Schizosaccharomyces pombe: one gene and its partners. Changing the gene in region 3 together with the main gene of any one other region gives a genetic interaction. Each region holds a gene or a part of one and is shown on either strand. Other genes may lie near its edges. The genes, in order: SPOM_SPBC17A3.06, cdr2, gyp1 and rqt2.

Evidence for each region.
Region 1: mutations in gyp1 (region 3) and SPOM_SPBC17A3.06 together harm fitness more than expected from each alone (negative genetic interaction), as found in Schizosaccharomyces pombe (one large-scale study listed by BioGRID).
Region 2: mutations in gyp1 (region 3) and cdr2 together harm fitness more than expected from each alone (negative genetic interaction), as found in Schizosaccharomyces pombe (one large-scale study listed by BioGRID).
Region 4: mutations in gyp1 (region 3) and rqt2 together harm fitness more than expected from each alone (negative genetic interaction), as found in Schizosaccharomyces pombe (one large-scale study listed by BioGRID).

What each region holds. Positions count from the first base shown.
Region 1 is NC_003423.3:1,411,182-1,414,556, forward strand, and holds SPOM_SPBC17A3.06 (phosphoprotein phosphatase), read left to right. Parts: upstream 1-1,683; 5' UTR 1,684-1,873; coding exon 1,874-2,866; downstream 2,867-3,375. Other genes in the region: SPOM_SPBC17A3.05C (J domain-containing protein), read right to left, coding at 181-926, 991-1,427, 1,482-1,510; mitochondrial glutathione reductase Pgr1, read left to right, coding at 3,315-3,366. UniProt on the Schizosaccharomyces pombe protein: May be directly involved in signal transduction and/or cell cycle regulation. It is necessary for maintaining growth rate or spore germination. Could show both activity toward tyrosine-protein phosphate as well as with serine-protein phosphate.
Region 2 is NC_003424.3:1,363,029-1,368,491, reverse strand, and holds cdr2 (serine/threonine protein kinase Cdr2), read right to left. Parts: upstream 3,697-5,463; 5' UTR 3,647-3,696; coding exon 1,319-3,646; 3' UTR 524-1,318; downstream 1-523. Other genes in the region: cyclophilin family peptidyl-prolyl cis-trans isomerase Cyp1, read right to left, coding at 51-104, 170-211, 252-281; cyclin Pas1, read right to left, coding at 4,686-5,463. UniProt on the Schizosaccharomyces pombe protein: Acts as a mitotic inducer. In G2 it negatively regulates wee1, a mitotic inhibitor. Also has a role in cytokinesis where it required for proper septum formation.
Region 3 is NC_003423.3:782,622-787,669, forward strand, and holds gyp1 (GTPase-activating protein Gyp1), read left to right. Parts: upstream 1-1,944; 5' UTR 1,945-2,491; coding exon 2,492-4,036; 3' UTR 4,037-4,524; downstream 4,525-5,048. UniProt on the Schizosaccharomyces pombe protein: Stimulates specifically the GTPase activity of ypt1. Functions on the Golgi as a negative regulator of ypt1.
Region 4 is NC_003423.3:3,743,967-3,751,877, reverse strand, and holds rqt2 (ATP-dependent RNA helicase), read left to right. Parts: upstream 1-1,868; 5' UTR 1,869-2,002; coding exon 2,003-7,810; 3' UTR 7,811-7,905; downstream 7,906-7,911. Other genes in the region: protein smp2, read left to right, coding at 218-406; SNARE protein Ykt6, read right to left, coding at 1,068-1,557, 1,606-1,709.

The DNA of each region.
Region 1 (3,375 bases), 630 kb from region 3:
CTAAAGTTACCTAAAAACCGAAGAGGCAGGCTTTAAGATACGCGTAAAGAATATTAGTTTTGTTCCAAAAACCCAATTAAAATTTTTATGAAAGTAAACAACACGAGAATAGGTATAGATGTGAATTAAAGAAAATGAAACAAAACAAAGGACAAGGAAGTATGTCTCAAAGACTATTGCTTAAAAATAATAACTGTTTGAATAAGTTCGATAGCCAAGGCGGTTTAATTCTTCGCAATTAGGTAAACGCAATTCTTTAGCCTTCTTCAGTGCCTCTTTATCAGGAAAGAACCATCCTTGAGCTCTTCGAATTTCGTCTTCTTTAATTTGTTGCTCGCGCAAACAAGCATTATGGACGTTTTGAGTATACGTATGCTCGACTTTTTCGTTGAGTCTTCTTATATCTCTTGAACTTAGCTTATCCAAATCCTTTTGGCTCATATAGTATGGAATGTTATGCTTGGCAGTAGTACGAGGAACAGTGTATTTATAGTTTTGTTGAAATGAATAGCGCGTATTAACCGACGTACTATCTGACCAACTAAAGTTGGACAAAAAGGCAAAAAGGATTACCACTATCAAAGGTAGCAACTGATAAAATATGCTCTTTGGGGGCATGTCCTGGGCCTGCTGACGACGTGCAAAATTCCTTGGACGGCCGCCAAACTGATGAACTCGAATGCCAGGTCCACCACCGAAGAAAAATGTTCCTGGACCTGAAAAGAACTGGTCACCAAAGAAAGAATTGAACAAATCTTCGGGAGACATATTCGCTTGAGGATAAGCAGAAAATCCAGGATGGCCTCCTGCGTTACTACTAAAAGAGCTGCTCGCAGCAGAGGCGCGAGATTCAGGATCCATTCCTGTACGGTCGTAGTGTGCTCGTAGATTAGGGTCTGATAAAACCTGAAAGGCTTTTGAAACCACTATAAAAAAGTTAGGATACAAAAAAAAACCTTAAAAATTATTAGCTAAAAAATGAAGACGTACTTTTAAATGCTTCGTCAGCACTAGGTGCGTGATTTTTGTCTGGATGGAGCTGTAATGCTAATTTTTTATAAGACTTTTTGATTTCTGTATCAGTGCAGGTTTTCTTTAAATCCAATATTTCATAGTACTGGTGATTTTTGTACTTTATGATTTTCTGGACCAACAAATGTTGTTCGCTTGTCCACTTCTGTTTCTTTTCACCAGCAGAGCTATTCCCATTTTCCCGCACCGACTGTTTTTCAGAAAAAAAGTTACTCTTGTTTTCTTGCTTAGGAGTTGCCTGAGGATTTGGAGAACCTGTAAGCTTTTGCTTTTCTATTTGTTTCACAAAATCTTCGCCCTCAGTGGTAGCATGAATTCGCAAAGATTTATTAGCAAATTTTAAAGCCTTATCATATTCTCCGGCATTTAAATACTTTCTTGCAAGTCCAATGCATCTACACGTAACATGTGTTAGTAATAAAATCTCACGCAATCCTCATTATTCGTACCTAAGGGCTTCTTCTCTACTAGATTCCATTTTGGTGATATGAAAGAAGGAAATTAAGTCCAAGTTTGATGAGAGAACCAAAGTTTCAAGTGCCTTCAATCTCTGCCAACTTTGTACTTGGATGGATCGATGCTACCAGAAACCCTTTAAACCAAGTAACATATCGAAGGTCAAGTGGCTTAAGTAACATGCACTTTTGAATCAATCCAAACACCAAAAACAGGAATAAAAGGGAAAACTAATTGATATATTTAAAATAATTCAAAAAGAGCATTTTTTGGTTTTGGTTGTTTGCCAAGCGAAATAATTAGAGTAATTGGAAAAGTTAAGTGTTTTTCATGTTTTTATGTTTCTTTCGGTTTCAAAGTGGTAAATCAGAAACTTAATAATAGAATGAGCAACAAAAGTGCATGGCAACCTCAGTTTGATGAAATTCACTCATCCGTTCAAGAAGCAGAAGGGTTTTTACAGTCTAGCAACGATGTACAGAAAGCTATAGACGAGGTGCATTATCCTGACAGCCTCAATGACTTGTCGGAAATATCAAAAAATTTGTATATTAGTAGTTGGAAAACGGCGTCAGAGCTAGTGTCTACTTCAGACAAAGGGATCGATTATACATTAAGCGCTATGAGTATTAATCCCAATTTGTCGGTTCCTGAACAACAACACCTTTGGTTGCAAATTGAAGACTCTAGTTCTCAAAATATTCTGCAATACTTCGAAAAGTCAAATAAATTCATCGCTTTTGCACTATCTAAAAATGCCAAAGTTTTGGTTCACTGCTTTGCGGGCATATCAAGGTCCGTAACCTTAGTGGCTGCATACTTGATGAAGGAAAACAATTGGAATACTGAGGAAGCACTCTCCCATATTAATGAAAGGCGCTCTGGAATATCTCCTAATGCTAATTTTCTTCGTCAACTTCGCGTATACTTTGAGTGTAATTACCAACTTGATCGAAGTTTGCGCCCATACCGCCAATGGCTGTTCAGAAGATATGGTGATTTCGCGGTGTTGAATACTAGGGTACCATCTGAAGTCGCTTACGCTGAGACTGTCCGTGCCCGTGCAGGACAATTAGAGCTTCGCTGTAAAAAATGTCGGTTTGTCCTTGCCAGCTCTGATTATCTGGTATCGCATGAACCGAAAGATGAAAATAATTATTCTCATACAAGATGTACTCATTACTTTTTGGAACCTATTCGCTGGATGCAGCCAGAATTGGAGTTGGGAAATTTGGAAGGTCGATTTGATTGTCCAAAATGCAATTCTAAAATTGGTTCTTATAAATGGCAAGGTTTACAATGCAGTTGTCTTCAATGGGTTTGTCCAGCTTTAAGTATTTTACAGTCGCGTGTAGACGCTGTTAGGAAACTCGGTTGATTTTTTTTTCTGCGTGTGTGAATCATCCACTTGCTTCAAAGTTAATGTATATTAGGAAGATCGCTCTAGGTTTTCAAATCATCTATGTTTATTACAAAAAAATGGTTTATCTTAAAACATTGGTTGCTTTTCCAGAGTTGTCGATGAGATCTTGTAATTAAAGTACTAACCAGTTCTGAATACTTATTTTTTAATAAAAACTCTATACTATCATTGGCCTGAGAAAAGTATTTCCATCTGTTCAATGGCAAAGTCTAAGGAATTCTTCTAATCTAATTATCACTTTATGGAGGTATTGCTTACTTTTGAAGATGACTAATATTGCCATAAAATTTCCTAATATTATCATAACGAATTCATGGTAAAGACGTCTTACCCTTACCTTCCGTTGGTTTATAACAGTATTCAACTTCTTCATTACCTATATACACGAAGTATTAAAACTAGAATGGCACCTATTTCAAAGGTCTTTGATTACCTGGTAATTGGTGGTGGAAGTGGTAAGTACA
Region 2 (5,463 bases), on a different chromosome or scaffold from region 3:
TATTTCAACATGCTTATTTGCACGATGCAAACAGTGCGAAAAAAACTTACAATAACACCATCATAGTATCCTTCTTTTGCTAAAGTATAGAAATTTTGACATGTCTATAAGTTAGCGATTCTACTTTCAAAGCAAACAACACTGTTCGTCCTTTATTCTTGATGCGTACTTTAGGAGCATGTTCTGTATACAATTCAATAAGAATTTTTCCCTAAAAAATGTTAAATGCTTGAGCTTGGAAAAGATCTTACCAAACTTGTTTGTAACTCTACATTAGCCATGGTATTTACTAGTTTTTACACGATTTTCTTGCAGTTTTTCGCTGCTTGTTCAAGTAATAAGTTGAAGTTGCAACCTCGCTAAAAATACTGAAAAGGCAATTGCACAGACAATTTTAAAAGTGCTTAATAATATGTCACGTACTTCATTCCAAAAAAACAGACTCTTTGTACAATGCAGATAACCTAGATATCCTACAACTTCAAATGTATTTCTTCAACTATCGAAGTAAGCAGGTTACATATTGAATTCCACTCAAATTTAATATCATACTAATTAGCATTGAGCGACCAAATACTTAATTGGAATAAATTTAATTTATACAGAACAAGCAGAAGGGTCATAAATTTCTAAACATAATACGACCTATGCTGCAGTTCATTGAAATTGTATCCGCTAGTGCTAGTTGATTGTGATAAATAAGATGAAGAAAAAGTCAAATCGATTGAAATAAACGAGACTAAAAAGATTGTGATTTAGAACGAAGAGTTAGAAAGCCAAAAGAAAAGATTGATTAAGATAAAAAATTTTATACCTAAATTAAATAAGAAAAATGTATTTCAAAAAAGATGCCAGCAATAGCCGGTCATACTAAATACAAAAATTACCTTGCTTCAGACATGCAAGTTATTATCATTGGAGTAAGTTCCAAGTACAACATCACATGTACAAAACTCAACAGGTTCCAAGAGAAACATTGTAGCAGAGCAGCAAAATATAATTTAATCATTAAATGCATTTATTGCTTCCCGGATAACCGTGGTTCCATATAGCAAGTTGAACAAGTAAAAGAAAAACATCAGAAAAAGAATGGAGGTCTATAAAGATATTGTTGGTGTATAAAAAGAGTTCCAATATGGGACAAAATGAAAGCTTAATTCAAAAAGTTCCAATACTTCCACGAGTATACATTATGTTCAATTATCAAACGATTAGCTTTTTTGATAATCCTTTTTTTTCCAAAGCATCACGAGAAAAATGAAGTTTGCAAAGGTTTTGGAGAATCAAAAAAAAATGATAATAATAATAATAAAAGAATTTAACTTTGGACGGATTGTCGTTGACGAAATACAGCAAAAGGACTACTACTTACACTCATTCGAGAAACAGGTCTGGATGCCGAAGCTTGAAAATAAGAGAGTTCCAAATTATCCAAAAACCCCTTATCTTCAAAAATCAGCTGGAATTCTGTAGCCAAATGGTCAAAAGTTGTAGAAGAACCGCTTTCCAACACAAAGACAGCTTGTGAACCAAAAAACTCAGCCAGTACCGATATTCTAAACCGAACCGGTTTAAGATTAAGTGAATTTTGTCGTTTAATACGAGCAGATATCGAAGCACTCACAGAATCATATATAATATCAGCAATGCCGATACCAAGAAGCTGCCATCTTCTAAGAACTTCTAAAATTTCATGTTCCAATTCTGAAGCAACCAAGCTGGCATAGACGCATTTACAAGAAGGCTCACTACTAAATAATCTCCTTAAAAATGATCGTTTTGGTTGAAAAGGTGAGCCGGAAAGCTTTTTCTTTGTAGAAGAAGGAGAGAATAACGATTGTCTTCTTCTATGTTTGGGAACATTCAACGAATCATAAGAGGCTGGTGATTGAGAGAGATCAGCACGCATTGATCTCTCCCCACTAGGGGTACGAAGACGACGAGAGTTGTTCATGGTTGCATTTGCGTATGGTTGATTATAGTTATTATTATCAATATTATTAGAGAATTGTTCATTTCCTACGTTGAAGCGAGTAACTCTTGGATTAAAAGCACTGCCGCGCGGGAAGCTTACGACTCGATTACCAGTGTGTTCGGACATTCTAGAAGTGACACGCTTTCTTGGAGGTCCCATACCTGTCGGGAAATTGGAAGCTGCTAAATTACCAACAATACTAGGGTCATTCTCATTCATACGAAAATCATTTGACATATCCAGTGAAGTAGCGCGACGACTTAGTTGAACTTCCGGATCGTTTATAGAAACGTTAAAGTTGCGAGGAGATAATGCAGAAGGAGGTCGGTAATTTGATGACAGCATTGAACTATCGTGGGGATATGCAAGTCCTGGGGTAACTGATTTTGGGAGTTGAGGAACAGCAGAAGATGTAGTGGCTGGTCGTTGAAGTATGGATTGGGGGTTGGTAGCATTAAAAGAGTAATTAAAAGTGCCAGAAGTGGTAACAGGTGTAAGAAATGGCGATGCAGAAGTAGCAGGTCGAGGAACAGACTCTGCAGCATAAGAAATTGGATAAGGCGCTAAAGTAGGAATATTGATAGCTTGTTCAATTTCTTCCTCGTCCATTTGCTGCCCGTTGGATGCTGCTGTACCAAGGAGATCATCGACCACAGCGCGGTTGCGATCAACTGCAGCGCTGGAAGGCGGATGCAAGTGTCTGCTCAGTAGAGTATATAGAGTTTTTTCAACCAAGGGTGATTGAGATGCCAATTTTTCATACAAGGGCATAGGATCATCGGAACATCTGAAAACTAAAGAGAGATGCTGCACTATTAATGGATCAATGGGTTGTATAGGGGCTGATATGATTGGAATAGAAATATTGGGATGAACAAAGCAACTAAGAAACGGGTGTTCACGAATTTGTTCCATGGTAATTCGAGTAGATGAATCAACATCAAGCATGCGGTACAACAGATGTTGGGCTTGAGGAGAGATATTTGATGGCATTTCAAATTGACCCTGACAGACTTTTAGCAACAAAGAACGAATGTTGTCATCATCAAACGGTAATTTCCCTGTTAACAAAGCAAAAAATATAATTCCACATGACCAAATATCGCTAGCACAACCATCATATGAACGCCCCATAATAATTTCTGGGGATGCGTAATGGGGAGACCCGCAGGAAGTCTGCAAAAGCTTTCCTGGCTGTTGAATAGACGCCATACCGAATTCACCGATTTTGATAGAACCATGGGCATCCAAGTATAAGTTCTCTGGCTTTAAATCCCGGTGGCAGATATGAAGTTTATGACAATACTCCAATCCACACAAAATCTGCCATAGAAACTTTGCCGTATCTTGCTCAGTAAAACTTCCTTTACGAAGCATGCAGTCAAAAAGCTCACCACCTGGCATATATTCGACTACGACAAAGAGTTGCTCCTGGGCTGAAATCACATCTATGAGCTGCAAAACATTAGGATGCTCGATCAATCGAAGCAAAACTAATTCACCCTCTATCCTAGCCTGTTGGCTCGAAGTAAGCTCGGACCATCCTACAATCGGTTTTACTACGGCTAATTGCCCAGTTTCACGATGTTTGGCTAAACGTGATGAATTTGGTCCTCCTGATCCTAAGGAAAGACCAAGCTCCCAAGGTCCAACTTCTGAAATTGTACTCATACACTTCAACTATTCAAAAGAACCAGTAAATCGGTGAAGTGGTGATGGCCAAATCCAAACCCCATTCATAGAACAGCATATGTGGGATGTTCTCCGTAATGCTCCCTAAACTTGTAAGCTATAGTATTTGAGTGCATTTAATTACAACAAAATATATATGTGAAATTGATTTTAACATTTGTAAAATTTTTAGTATATAATTTGTTGTTTTGTCTTAATCCTTCCTACTTGCAACTGTACTTTAGGGAAATATCAGTTAATTTTCGTGATGTTCAAGAAGATACGTATAATTATTAGTTTTTACAAAAATCGCTTACAATTAGTGTATTCAACATTGTTTTAAAGACCGTAATCAAAATTGGCTCTACTAGTAGTACGGTGTAGCAATTACTGCTTTTGTAAATGATCAAGATATTTTAGTTCAATGTTTCACAGTTTAATCGTTGAAAAAATATTACTTAGACAACTCTGTTAAAAAATGATTGAAAGGACTCTTAGAGCCTTCAAATAGGATTGGAGCTCAGTAGTAGATTTCAAATGGCTACATTCACCTGCCTAAAATATATAACTATCTTAATGAGCACATACATAATCTCTAAATAGTTTGACTATTTGACAAGTTTATGGCCATAAGAAATCAACAAAATTATCTTTTTTGAATACCTTGCTCTACTGATATCAATTTACAAGATGCATAAGTAAATATAGTTGCCAATCGTTAATTCATTCATACCATATATACATCGTTTTGCTATTAGAATGTTAAAAAAAGATTCATAGAAACGACAACAATATTTGATTTTTAATCAAAACATTGACAAGTCTAGATATGAAAAGAAGGTAGTAATATAAACCTAATCAAGTTTCCCATATCATGATTATCTTCCACACAATTTGAATAGATAAATCAATAGAAAGAAAACATTATCGGTATTTATTGACATCCGCTGTTAAAATGGCATCAGTATTATGAAATTATTCATTAAATATTATAGTTTTTGAAAGAAGCGGCGAAGACAGCGCAGATTGGGCTTGATAATTAAAAGTAACTGCGACGCTTAGCACTGTGTTCCGTTAAACATGAGTAGTCTTCTTCTAAATGCCTTTTTTGAGAACAAGGTTGAGGGAGGGACGCGACATATGCAGACGCTGTACCCAGATCACAACTCACAGATACGGCAAGTGGTAAGACGCTTGCAAAAGGCATATTAAATGTAACTGGACCAGTAGCATTGTTCAATTTTTGAGCATTATAGCAGTAAGCAACACCTCCATTGGACTTAGAAGTCATTGGCCGATATACTCCAACCTTTGGTGAAGAAGGAGTTGGTGGTAGACTAACTGGCTTAGAAAGGCTTGACAACCGACCCGGTAATACTTGAGGATTTACATAAACTTGCGGTTCCATAAGCGGTATTTGTTCGGGTGGCGAAGCAGTAGTCAAAGTGCGGGACTGATTTGAAGCCTGAATATGTGCTTTACAGACATTCATAGGAGCCAGTTGTTTGGCAATGGGTAAAACAGATGGAGTGGATGGAGGGGTACTGCCAACAGATACTGGAGTAGAAGGTGCCATCGTAAGAATAGGTGATGAGTCTTGAGTTGTTTGAGGAGAAGAGGAGGGCTTCCTCGTAGCCTGATTCTTCAAAGCAGCATTAGCATTCATTCTGCGATGTGCTATCTTCGTTAAACAGGCAATGGAAAAAAGATCATCTAGAGAAGATTGAACATTAGAAAACAAAGAGACCCAATATTGTGCGACGCTGCCAAATGAGGCAACATTAGGATCGGTGGAATCATAACGTGCAGTCGCGTGA
Region 3 (5,048 bases):
AATAACTCTATTTTAACGATGTATAGGATTCGTTCTGACAGCTTCATTTTTATTCCAGCAAAGCGAAGCAAAACGGATCATTCGCTTCGTGCCAAAACAATGTTGTTTTATGGATTAAAAGATGATCTTCTTAAAGCAGCCATGGCTAAGCATTCATAATACGTGATAGATCATGTTATAGACTTCATCTTTGTAGATCATATAAATGCTTAAGTGTTGAGTCAATGACACATAGACTGTACTTGTCTATTTAATTTGTCTAACGTATTACATTCATAAAAAGCGCGTAAACGTGTTGAGTCTTATAGAAGTTGTTATGACTAGCAATTCAAGAACAAGTCTGATTCATAACATTATTTAACATTTCTTTATTCCATTTCATTTTATTCTTTCTCTATGTTAAAATTCTTGACTTTGCAATATAAACAGACAAATATGCACCAAGTAGCTTGTACAAATAGCTCCTAAACGATCTTTGAATGCATGAAGATAATATTCTATATACCAAGGATTTGAATACTTCACGATCTTACTGTATGAATATATAAACAATAAATAGAAAATTTCTAGTGAATCGACAGTACTCTGACTGATTATTAATTTTTTCTTTAAAATGTTTAAATATTCTACTTTAAACGTCTACGGCCATACCTAGGCGAAAACACCAGTTCCCGTCCGATCACTGCAGTTAAGCGTCTGAGGGCCTCGTTAGTACTATGGTTGGAGACAACATGGGAATCCGGGGTGCTGTAGGCTTCCTTTTATTCTTTTTGCTTTTTGTTTGAGCTCATTTGGGAATAATAATCATTTACCTTGATTCGTACTTATTCATTTCAATACCTTTGCACATAATATTATTGTGTACTATGAATGATATTTTGGCAACCAGGAAATCTTCTTACAAGTCGTAATACGACTTAAAGGGAAGATGTATGGTTTATTTTATTGTCATACAGTAACCTTTATTATTGGATTGGAGTTGTAGTTTCGATTTCATCACAATGAATAACGATACTCTAGAGTGTTTTCCAAGATGTAAACGAGAGAAGGAAAGTGTTTTTTGGATGATTATTAAACTTACTATAATTTTTGATTGTTCTCAATATAAAATTTATCTTAGTACATATTTATTTTGTTCTCATGTCAGTTTTGGAGAACATACATTACAATTTCTTGACAAGACAACATTTGGAAAATTGCTCTGTTCATTAAAACATTGAAAACCGTATATGTTTTTTAAATCATTCCTCTTCAATGCATTTGTTGAAGTAATTTTACTGAATCAAAGATATAAATACATGTTTGAAAACAAATACCCGAAACTGCTAAAAAAAAGACTGGGATTGAAAGTTAGACTAGATTCGTTGATCATCTACTTGAAAAATGTGTTTTGTTAGAAATATATAGGAACAGGAAAATCTTAGACTGTATTTCAGGAAAATTTAAACTTAGTAGGTATTAAAATGCTTATAATTCATCGTATTATATTAGGTAACTAGGATGTCAATACGAAAAATAACAATAAAATCAGAGATTCATTATTGACAGGAAATACTTTTTTACGTTTCTTAATCAACGTTTATACTTTTCTCTTTTTTGTTTTGAAAAGCGACTAGTCACAATTGTCAAAATTACATTGTTCACTTTTACTGGCAGCAACTTAAGTAAAGAAGAGATAGAACTCATAGATATAAACATTGTTAAATGAGACCTAGCTGTGTATCTTTTACTACTCTGCGCATATAAACCCAACATTCCCAAGCAATAAGACCATGCACGGCCAAAATCCTTCTATCAACTGTTCATGGCTTAAAACGAATTTCCTTTAACTAAAAAGTGAGATAAATAATTAAAGTATTAAACCTTGCTCCTTTTATTAAAAAAACCTCATATATAAGAAACTCCATACACCTACTGTTTTCCTCCCTATTGTTTTGTTCTTCCACCAAATAAGGGCAACTGCCTTGGCAACTGCACAGACCGAGTAAATCTTCACAATTTCGTTGATATTCGGTTAAAATTTGTAAATATACTAGTGTATTGGATTGTATCTAAGGTTTTCTCGAAACATTTGTTCGTGTTCAAATTCCGCGCTGTTCTAATAGATCACAAGATCTCGAGCTGGTGCGTTTTCGTTTGGATGGAACCCACAGACACGGCTTTGCTTCTAATAGCTTAAGTTTTTTTTTTTTGAAAATAGTTTTCATTTGATAAGAAAAGAATAAGACTTCAAGTCCGGTAAGTCTATGAGTGGTGCCTAAGATCCTTCGTCGTTAAACATTTGAAGTTATTGCCTTCTAAAACGTTTCATCTACTTTTTACAGCAAATTTTGAAACTGTTTTTTGCATCTTAACCAAAAGTATTTTATTTTGGCGATAAATTCAAAGAGTATCTGTTATTTGCTAAATTTGTTGTGTCCATCAAGGCTATCAAATTACTGCTTCATTTTGTAAAAACAATTTTTCTTCTCGTATTTTAAGATTTTCCACTATGGAATCTCAGTCAAAAAAGTCGTCCGCCTTAAAAACTCTCTCCAGCTTATGGAATGGATCCTCTAGCGCCACTTCGGATCCAGTTACTGTTTTGGATCGAAGCCGGACCCATCACCATCGTGGTCGAAGCACTTCTTCCAAAGCTCAACCGTTCAGATTGGACGACTCTGTTTACTCAGATCAACCCCCAAAAGATCATATCTCTTTGGCCCGGTCCATAACTAGACCCGAATCTGCTAGTGAGTCTAAAATCTATGCACCTTCTGCGAGATCTTCTCTTTCCTTGGAAGCTGTTGTAGGCAAAAAAGTGTCTGCAAAGTTTGCCAAATATTTGTCACAGACAGATGACGATTGGGGAGTTTCGAATATTAAAGCCTCAAAATCTCTTCCTCGTATGGCTCGAAGTACTACTCCAAATTCTTCAAGCCGCTCCTTATTTCCTCAAAATGGCGTGGATACTACCACTTCTAGACAAAAGCTTCATTCGTCTGGTCGTTTTCCTTTACCCGCTAAACTAGCCCATCGTTCTGTAGAAGTTGAGGTTGCTGAAAGCAATGCGCTTGTCTCTCGGATCAAGAAGTTTTCGCGAATTCTTGATGCTCCAATTGTGGATTTAAATGCGCTTCGTACATTGGCTTGGAATGGAATTCCCTCCGAACATAGACCTATTGTCTGGAAATACTTGTTAGGATATTTACCTTGTAATGCTTCTCGTCGTGAAGTCACTTTAAAGCGAAAGAGAGACGAATATAACGCAGCAAAAGATTCCTGCTTTAATACAAATACAGAGCCACCACCTTTGGATCAAACTATTTGGCGACAAATTGTCCTTGACGTTCCGAGGACGAACCCCTCTATTCTTCTTTACCAAAACCCATTGACGCAGCGTATGCTTGAGCGTATTTTATATGTTTGGGCCTCACGGCACCCAGCCAGCGGATATGTACAAGGCATCAGCGATTTAGTTACTCCTTTTATTCAGGTGTTTTTGTCCGAATATATCGGCGATAAGGACCCAATGACATATGACATTGCTCTTCTTGATGAAACTAATCGTAATGATATTGAGGCTGATGCTTACTGGTGTCTTTCTAAATTGTTAGATGGTATCCAAGATAACTATATACATGCACAGCCTGGAATCCGTCGACAGGTGAATAATCTGCGAGAGCTTACTTTACGTATAGATGAGCCATTAGTAAAACATCTTCAAATGGAGGGTGTTGATTTCCTTCAGTTTAGTTTTCGCTGGATGAACTGTCTTTTAATGCGCGAGCTTAGTATTTCGAATATCATTCGGATGTGGGATACATACATGGCGGAAGGTGTCCAAGGATTTTCTGAGTTTCACCTCTACGTATGTGCTGCATTTTTAGTGAAATGGTCGAGTGAATTACAAAAGATGGAATTTCAGGATATATTAATTTTTCTGCAGTCTATTCCGACAAAAGATTGGAGCACAAAGGATATCGAAATTTTACTATCTGAAGCTTTCCTATGGAAATCATTGTACAGTGGAGCTGGTGCACATTTGAAAAGGTAAGGCATAGTAGCCATTTCGTTTTCCCTTTTCAGAGCATTCGTCTTCTTCCTTAATCCCTTGCTTATTTTGGCATAGCAGCCTTTTTCAAATGCCATCCTTCCTATGCATTTTTATAATTAGGTTGACAAATCTCCTTCGTTAATTCATTGTGTTGCTTTTCTATGTTTATGAGCTTATGAGTCTAAGTCTTACTTCTTCTAATAAATTTTCCTTTCATTCACCTAAATAACTTTTCAAGTTTGCTCCTTAACTCAGCTGGATTGAGTTTGCGACTTTTAGAATTTATCATGCAGGATAAAGTATTTCTCTTGAAGAAAGTCTGAACTACCTTAATCATTTTTGGGAAGTTATTAACCCTTGAATTAAATTGTATATTCACTATTACTTATATGTAATTTGTCTTTACTCTTACGTTCGACCGTTCTCTAACCCTTTTCCAGTTTGACTTACGTTACTACTTTACTATTCAACGATTGTTTAGTCCATGGCGTGATACTTTACATGAATCGTTATTAATATCATTTTTTTTTCTCTTCTATGCTAGTCATGTTTTCTTTGGTTTTATCCAAGATTGTACATTACGATTTCAAAGTACGACTTTTGTATTGGTAAGAGATGATGAAAATCGACAAGACTGTACTACATGGTCTGTGTCTTCTTCCTTGATTCGACCAAAATGTATGGATGAATTAGAGTAGATAATGAAAACGCTGTGACAATTTTTGAATATTTATACAACTTAATACAGTTTTTGAACTGAAATAAAGAAGCACGTTCCATTGCGTTATAGAATCATTGTATTACTTTTCATGAAGAAGAAATCATTTATTTATAACTATAGGATCAATTTCTTATCTTTTAAATTTCAATACTCATAGCTTTTTCATGCTGATTTTGCAACTGCTTACCACAACAGCATTTGCAGTGACTGTTTTTCAAACTATATTTACTATATAAGGGAGACTTTGCCTATTACCTCTACGTCTGGCTTAGGAGCGCAAATTAAGCGATA
Region 4 (7,911 bases), 3.0 Mb from region 3:
ACACCGCTCTTCAACCATGTATTTTGTATCGAGATAAATAATTGAATATGAAATTCTACCTATATGCTTAATAAAATCAAAAATTGCCTCGCATAAACAAAAAAAAACTCGGTGATTAAATACACCGAATCACTTGGTTAGCCGCAAGGCAATATGAAGTGGATTGTAATGTGTTTGTTTACTAATCCATTACACCAATTTTCTTGCACACATTCACATGCAGCACAATAAGGAAAATCATTTTGTAGAGGATGCAAAGCAATTCCAAGAAAAAGCAAAACTCTATCAAGGAAACTACTATACACTGGATGGAGAATTAATCACCATAATACCTAGCTCGAAGGAGGGCTTTCGATCATGCAAATCGCTTTATTATAAGAAGAAGCAACCTATACCGGGAAGGTAATAAAATATAGATGCAGCTGCATCTGCAGCATATTGATGGCGTGCTTGCACATACTCCTCAACCCTTCAAACTTTTACTTCAATAAACGAAGGGTACCAAACCACTACCTTTCTTGAACTATTTTATCAAAGAAATGCATAATAGCATTAACGAATAATGAAAATTACTACCAAACCATTTTGCTTGCCAACAACAATTGAGTTTGTGTAACTTGATATATACTAGAAGATAAATCTAAACTATAGAAAAATCTGTAACGAAAAAAGCCCGATAGTTTTCTCGCTCCAACAAACTCAATAATTTTACAATCTTTAAAAAAATCTCCTTTACAAGTTTATAAAGTGAACCATTCATGCTATGAGCATCAACGAAGAGTGTGTATGCTCATTGAAACATGCTAGACTTTTTCAACAAGTAATCTACTCTATAACATAAAAGCAATCCGGAATGCAAACAACGTGTCATGAAAAGATCAGATTAAAGATAATGATAGAAGAACAATTTCATGGACTCTAGGAACAGGCGCAGAAAAATTAACAAGGTTTTGATATTCAATCGATAATTGCAGCAAACAAAATGCAAGAATACCAACTTGAAAAAATATGATATAATTTGGGCATTGGGAAGAAAGGAAAACCAAACAAATGAATTTATAAAATAATTAAGCTATTATACAGCAAGAATTTTGCTTTTTAGCAGATTTATAAAACATTCGAGACTGTGTAGATAAGTTATCACTACGTTGGATCAAGTCGTCCAACTTCTCTCCTCTAGCTAAGACACTCTCGATTGTTTTATGAAGTACATCTTTAGTTTCATCCAATTCTTGTTGCACTCGCATAATCGTATCAGCCTGCTTGGGGTCTTGATATTTTGATAGATAGGTATCCAATTCTGGAAAGGATAGGGTAACAGCACCAGATTCCCATTTGGTGCGAGGATTTTTTGTCAAAAATTCGTCTAGAATCTTATTTAGAAGAGTATAAGCAACACGTAAAGGGTATTCCTTGTCACTAGCAATCACACCGCACAACCCATCCGATCGGTTGTACACATGAAAAACGTAATTGGACTGTTCAACGTCTTGTCTTTGCCCTGGATTAGTACGTTCTGCAACAGTCTTTGTAAAAAAATTCATGAACTCTCCGATGCTGAAATATTTGTTAACAAACTACTCTTCAATTAAATCTTGCACATACGATGATCGTTGAAAAAATGAGAAACTAGATAAGTCTGAGGCAGTGCATAATAATTGCACTGGTTTTGGGTCAAAGCGGAGTATAGAGACAGAATACAGCTTCATTCTGTAAATATGCTGTAAATCAAGTTAATGGTGTGGGTTAAGTTTGTTTCTGCTTTGGTTGAAAACGCCATACTTCTTGCAATCGTATGTACACACATAATACCTTCGACTACGGTATTTTTCTATTACACAAATAATAGGTAGTGGCCATTTGTTTACAAACCATCCCCTACACTACTAGCAGTGCTAAATTGGGTAGTATATTGGATACAATCCTATAAAAGCAATAAAAATTCAAATTTTTTCTGTTTAAGGAGGTTTTAATTTCAACGATCTATCCTTTTACAGTTTTCATGGAAGTTGAGTTAAATTATGTAGTGAATCACTTAGAAAAGCTAGGTCCTGCTAGTTTTTGTGATACTCCATATAGCTTTTCGCTGAGTGATTCGAATGCTGAGCTAGGTGCTTTATCGTTAAAAGTTGACGAAATTTTGAAAACAAATTATAATTTAATCAATCCCGAGGACGTTACTGACTCCGACAATAATGAATTTGCTCTTAAAGATTTAACTTGGCTGCAAAATTGCTGCAATGAAATTTCTCAATCTTCAAGTACTGAACTTGATGCTTCAGTACTATTTGAAGCAGTCATTATGAGCCTAAAAGCGACTGAAGATCAATGTGCCATTCAAGAAGATTTACTGAATCTTGTTGGACTTGATCATATTGACTTGATTTCAGATATCGTCGCTAATTCGTCCAATTTAATAGAAGAATACATGAATCAAAATGATACTTCAATTGCTGCGCAACTTTCTGATGGCTATACCTCTGAAGCTGGTTCTTCTGCTACGCATGGTCAGGGATTATTAGACAGTTTAAAAAGTAGGCCGAGAAGATTTAGTCGGTCTCGTGATAACAGAGGTCCTTTATTTACTGGACAGCAAGTTTTTGAAGTGGAAAAATATCCTCATGTGTATGGGGATAAAAGGCTTGGTAATACTATTAGCGTCATTGGGAAAAAGTTTGCATTACCGGCTGGTAGTGAAAGAGAAGATTACCAGAAATATGAAGAGATTATTGTTCCTCATGCTCAGCGTGCTCCACAAATGCAAGGGGAAAAGTTGTTAGAAATTTCTTCGATGGATATTCTTTGTCGAAAAACATTCCTTAGCTACCAAACTTTGAACAGAATCCAATCGCTTGTCTATCCTATCGCCTACAAGACAAACGAGAATATGTTAATTTGTGCACCTACAGGTGCAGGAAAAACTGATGTTGCTCTGCTCGCAATGTTGCAAACAATCTCCAACTATGTAGAAAGTATGAATCTTATGGATGAATCGGAACCTCTAGATGTTCATAGAGATGATTTTAAGATTGTCTACATTGCTCCTATGAAGGCATTGGCTGCTGAGGTTGTAGAGAAAATGGGAAAACGTCTCGCTTGGTTGGGATTGAAAACTAGAGAACTTACTGGTGATATGCAACTAACCAAAACGGAAATAGCAGAAACTCAGATACTTGTTACAACACCTGAAAAATGGGACGTAGTTACTAGAAAAAGCGTCGGCGACACTCAGTTAGCCGAGAAAGTACGTTTGGTTATCATTGATGAAGTACATATGCTTCATGATGAACGTGGTGCTGTTATTGAATCACTTGTCGCTAGGACACAAAGGCTGGTAGAAACAAGTCAACAGATGATTAGAATTGTTGGTCTTTCTGCCACACTTCCAAACTACCTTGATGTAGCTGATTTTTTAGGCGTCAATAGGTACAAGGGATTGTTTTATTTTTCATCTGCATTTCGTCCATGCCCTATTGAACAGCATTTCATCGGTGCTAAAGGTTCTCCTAAAATAGTAAACTCAAATATTGATGAAGCTTGTTTTGATAAAGTTTTGAAACTGATTCAGGAAGGCCATCAGGTAATGATATTTGTACATTCTAGGAAGGAAACCATTAATTCAGCTAAGAAGTTGAGGGAACAATTTTTCCATGAGGGAGAGGCTGATTTGTTGGACAACTCACAACATGAAAAATATAGTCTAGCTCAAAGAGATGTTTCAAAGTCAAAAAACAAAGAGTTAAAAGAACTTTTCAAATACAGTATGGGGATTCACAACGCTGGCATGTTACGATCGGACCGACATCTTACTGAACGTTTGTTTTCTATGGGTATTCTTAAAATTTTATGCTGTACTGCTACCCTAGCATGGGGTGTTAATTTACCGGCTTATGCTGTATTAATTAAAGGAACTCAGCTTTATGATCCACAAAAGGGTTCTTTTGTAGATCTTGGCGTGTTGGACGTTTTACAAATATTCGGTCGTGCTGGTCGTCCTCAGTTTGAAAGTTCGGCAGTCGCGTACATAATTACGACACATGATAAACTTTCTCATTACATCTCCGTTGTAACACAACAAAGCCCTATTGAATCTCGTTTCACCGATAGATTGGTTGACAACTTAAACGCTGAAGTTTCTTTAGGAACGGTAACTAATATTGACGAAGCTGTATCGTGGTTAGGTTATACTTATCTTTATATCAGGATGAGACGTAATCCACTTGTATACGGTATTGCTTATGACGAACTTGTTGAGGATCCTTTACTAGGCAGCAAGCGAAGAGAATTGGTATCTGTAGCGGCAGGAAGGCTGGCAGATAATCAAATGATCGTTTACAATAAGAAAAACGGATACCTGATTCCTAAAGATTTAGGTAGAATCGCGTCCAATTACTATATCAATTATCAAACTGTCTCAACATTAAATAATTTATTGAAAAGCAAAATGTCGGAAGCAGACATTATAGCTCTTTTGAGCCAATGCAGCGAGTTTTCCCAAATCAAATCGAGAGAAAATGAGCATCGTGAGCTTGAATCACTAATGGAAAACAGTAGTCCTTGTCAGTTGAGGGATAGTATTTCGAATACATCAGGAAAAGTTAACGTTATTCTGCAGTCATACATTTCTCGTGCGCATGTAGAAGATTTTACCCTAACATCAGATACAAATTATGTTGCACAAAACGCGGGTCGAATAACTAGGGCTCTTTTCGAAATTGCAATGTCAAGGACTTGGGCCTCGGCATTTACTATCCTTAGCTTAAACAAGTCAATTGATAGGAGGCAGTGGTCTTTTGAACACCCCTTACTTCAGTTTGATCTTCCACATGACCTTGCAGTCAAAGTGGAAAATCAGTGTGGGTCTTTATCATTAGAAGAATTGTCGGACATGTCTACAGGAGAACTTGGTGATCTTATTCATAACCGAAAAATGGGCCCTACAGTTAAAAAATTTATTTCCAAATTACCTCTTTTAAACATTAATGTTGATTTGCTACCTTTAACGAAAAACGTTTTGCGACTTGTATTAAATATCACTCCCAATTTTAATTGGGACATGAGATATCATGGAAACAGTCAAATGTTTTGGATATTTGTTGAAGATAGTAACGGTCTTGAGATTCTTCATCATGAACAGTTGCTCCTAAATAAACGGAACGTTAGCACTTCTCATTTACTATCCTTTACCATACCTGTGTCTAATCCATTACCCTCACAACTATACATTATTGCAGTATCAGATAAATGGCTAGGCGCTGAAACAGTTACCCCGGTTTCTCTTTCTAATGTTGTTTTTCATGACGATTCCAATCCCATTACAGAATTATTGGATCTTCAACCTTTACCAATTACGGCTTTGCACGATCCAGTGCTAGAAGGTATATGCGCTAAAAGATTCTCGTTTTTTAATGCAGTCCAAACTCAATTTTTTCACACTATTTATCACACCGATACAAATATTTTCGTTGGTGCACCTACTGGATCTGGTAAAACTATGGCCGCAGAATTAGCTACTTGGAGAGCTCTTCACAATTATCCTAAGTCGAAAGTAGTTTATATTGCTCCAATGAAAGCTTTAGTCAAGGAAAGAGTAAAGGACTGGGGACACAGGTTAGTTGAACCAATGGGGATTAGTATGATTGAATTAACTGGTGATACTAACCCGGATGTTAAGGCTGTTACGAATGCAAATATCATAATTACAACACCGGAAAAATGGGATGGTATTACTAGAAGTTGGAAATCTAGGAAGTATGTTCAGGATGTCTCATTAATTATCCTTGACGAAATCCATTTATTAGGTAGCGATCGAGGTCCTGTCCTTGAAATGATTGTCTCCCGAATGAATTATGTTGCTTCTCAAACTAATAAGAAAGTTAGAGTTCTTGGTTTATCTACTGCTGTTGCTAACGCTAACGATCTTGCAAATTGGCTTAACATAAGAGATGGTCTATTTAATTTTAGGCATTCCGTGCGCCCAGTTCCTTTAGAAATATATATCGATGGATTCCCTGGTAGAGCCTATTGCCCAAGGATGATGTCGATGAATAAGCCTGCTTTTCAAGCCATCAAAACGCACTCTCCTACCCAACCTGTTTTAATTTTTGTTTCGTCGCGCCGTCAAACTAGATTAACTGCAAAAGATTTGATAGCTTTTTGTGGTTTAGAAGACAATCCTAGGAGATTTTTGTACATGGATGAAGAAGAATTAGAAATGATTGTTTCAGAAGTTGAAGATAAAAGCCTCAAGTTGGCTTTACCATTTGGTATAGCACTTCACCATGCTGGTTTGACTGAAAATGATAGAAAAATTTCCGAAGAGCTTTTTGTAAATAATAAAGTTCAGATTCTCATCGCCACCAGCACTCTTGCATGGGGTGTAAATACGCCGGCACATTTGGTAATTGTGAAAGGAACAGAGTATTACGATGCTAAAATTGGAGGCTATAAAGACATGGATTTGACGGATGTGCTTCAAATGTTAGGGCGTGCAGGACGACCACAATTTGACAATTCTGGTGTGGCACGTATATTTGTACAGGATATTAAGAAGTCGTTTTATAAGCACTTTCTACATAGTGGATTTCCAGTAGAGTCTTATTTACATAAAGTATTGGATAACCATTTAAATGCCGAGATTGCTACGGGCACTATAGATTGCATACAGGGTGCAATGGATTTTTTAACGTGCACTTACTTCTATCGAAGAGTTCATCAAAATCCCGTTTATTACGGTGCTGATGGAGATGACCAAAAGAGTATAGATACTTATTTATCGAAACTTGTTGTGACTGCATTTAATGAACTTGAAAAGTCAGCTTGCATATATCGTGTCAACGAAGAAACCTATGCACCTACAACTTTGGGTCGTATAGTTAGTTACTATTATCTTTTTCATACCACCATCAGAAACTTCGTTCAAAAAATAACTGAGAACGCTGAGTTCGATCTTGCGTTGCAATTGCTTGCTGAAGCATCTGAGTTTGACGATCTCGCTATTCGTCACAACGAAGATTTGATAAACATAGAGATTAATAAATCTCTGAAATATTCGGCTGCTTGCCTAAACCTTCCTATGGTCGATGCTCATGTTAAGGCATTTATATTAACTCAAGCTCACATGGCAAGATTGAAACTTCCAGTGGATGATTATGTTACTGATACTAGCACGGTTTTAGATCAGGTTATTCGTATTATACAGTCTTATATTGATGTGTCCGCTGAGCTAGGCTACTCCCATGTCTGTTTACAGTACATATCTCTAATGCAGTGTCTTAAACAGGCTTGCTATCCGAGTGAGATTTACAGAGCTTCATTACCTGGACTTAATGCGTCTAGTGAAAAGGAAGCAAGAGATTATCTCAACAAATTTGCAGGAAATAAAACTGATGAGTTATATCAAATGCTATGTAATGACCCTAACGTTTTTGATATAGAAAGTCTGGTCAATAGTTTAATTTCGTATCCTAAAATGAACATTGAAGTTTCTCAATCGTCTTCAGATAAGCTACTCCTTTATCTACGACGCCTCAATCAGCCGCTCAACCCCGATTTTTACATTTTTGCGCCGTTGTTCCCTAAACCTCAAAGTGAGGGATTTTTCGTTCTCATCATAGATTCAGAAACTCAAGAACTGTTCGCGATACGTCGGGCCTCATTTGCTGGGCGAAGAAACGATGATTCAATTCGTTTATCCCTTCGGATTTCAATGGATATTCCACCAACTTGCCGCAACAGAAATGTAAAAGTCATGGTTGTTTGTGATGGATACCCATTAATTTACGAACATAAAATTGTATTGATGATTTAATGAAGCTTTTGTAGAAAAATAGAAGGCTTTAAGCCAATTTCCTTATTATATTTAAGTCTGTTTAATAAAAATTAATTAACAAATCTATAGACCTCAATAAT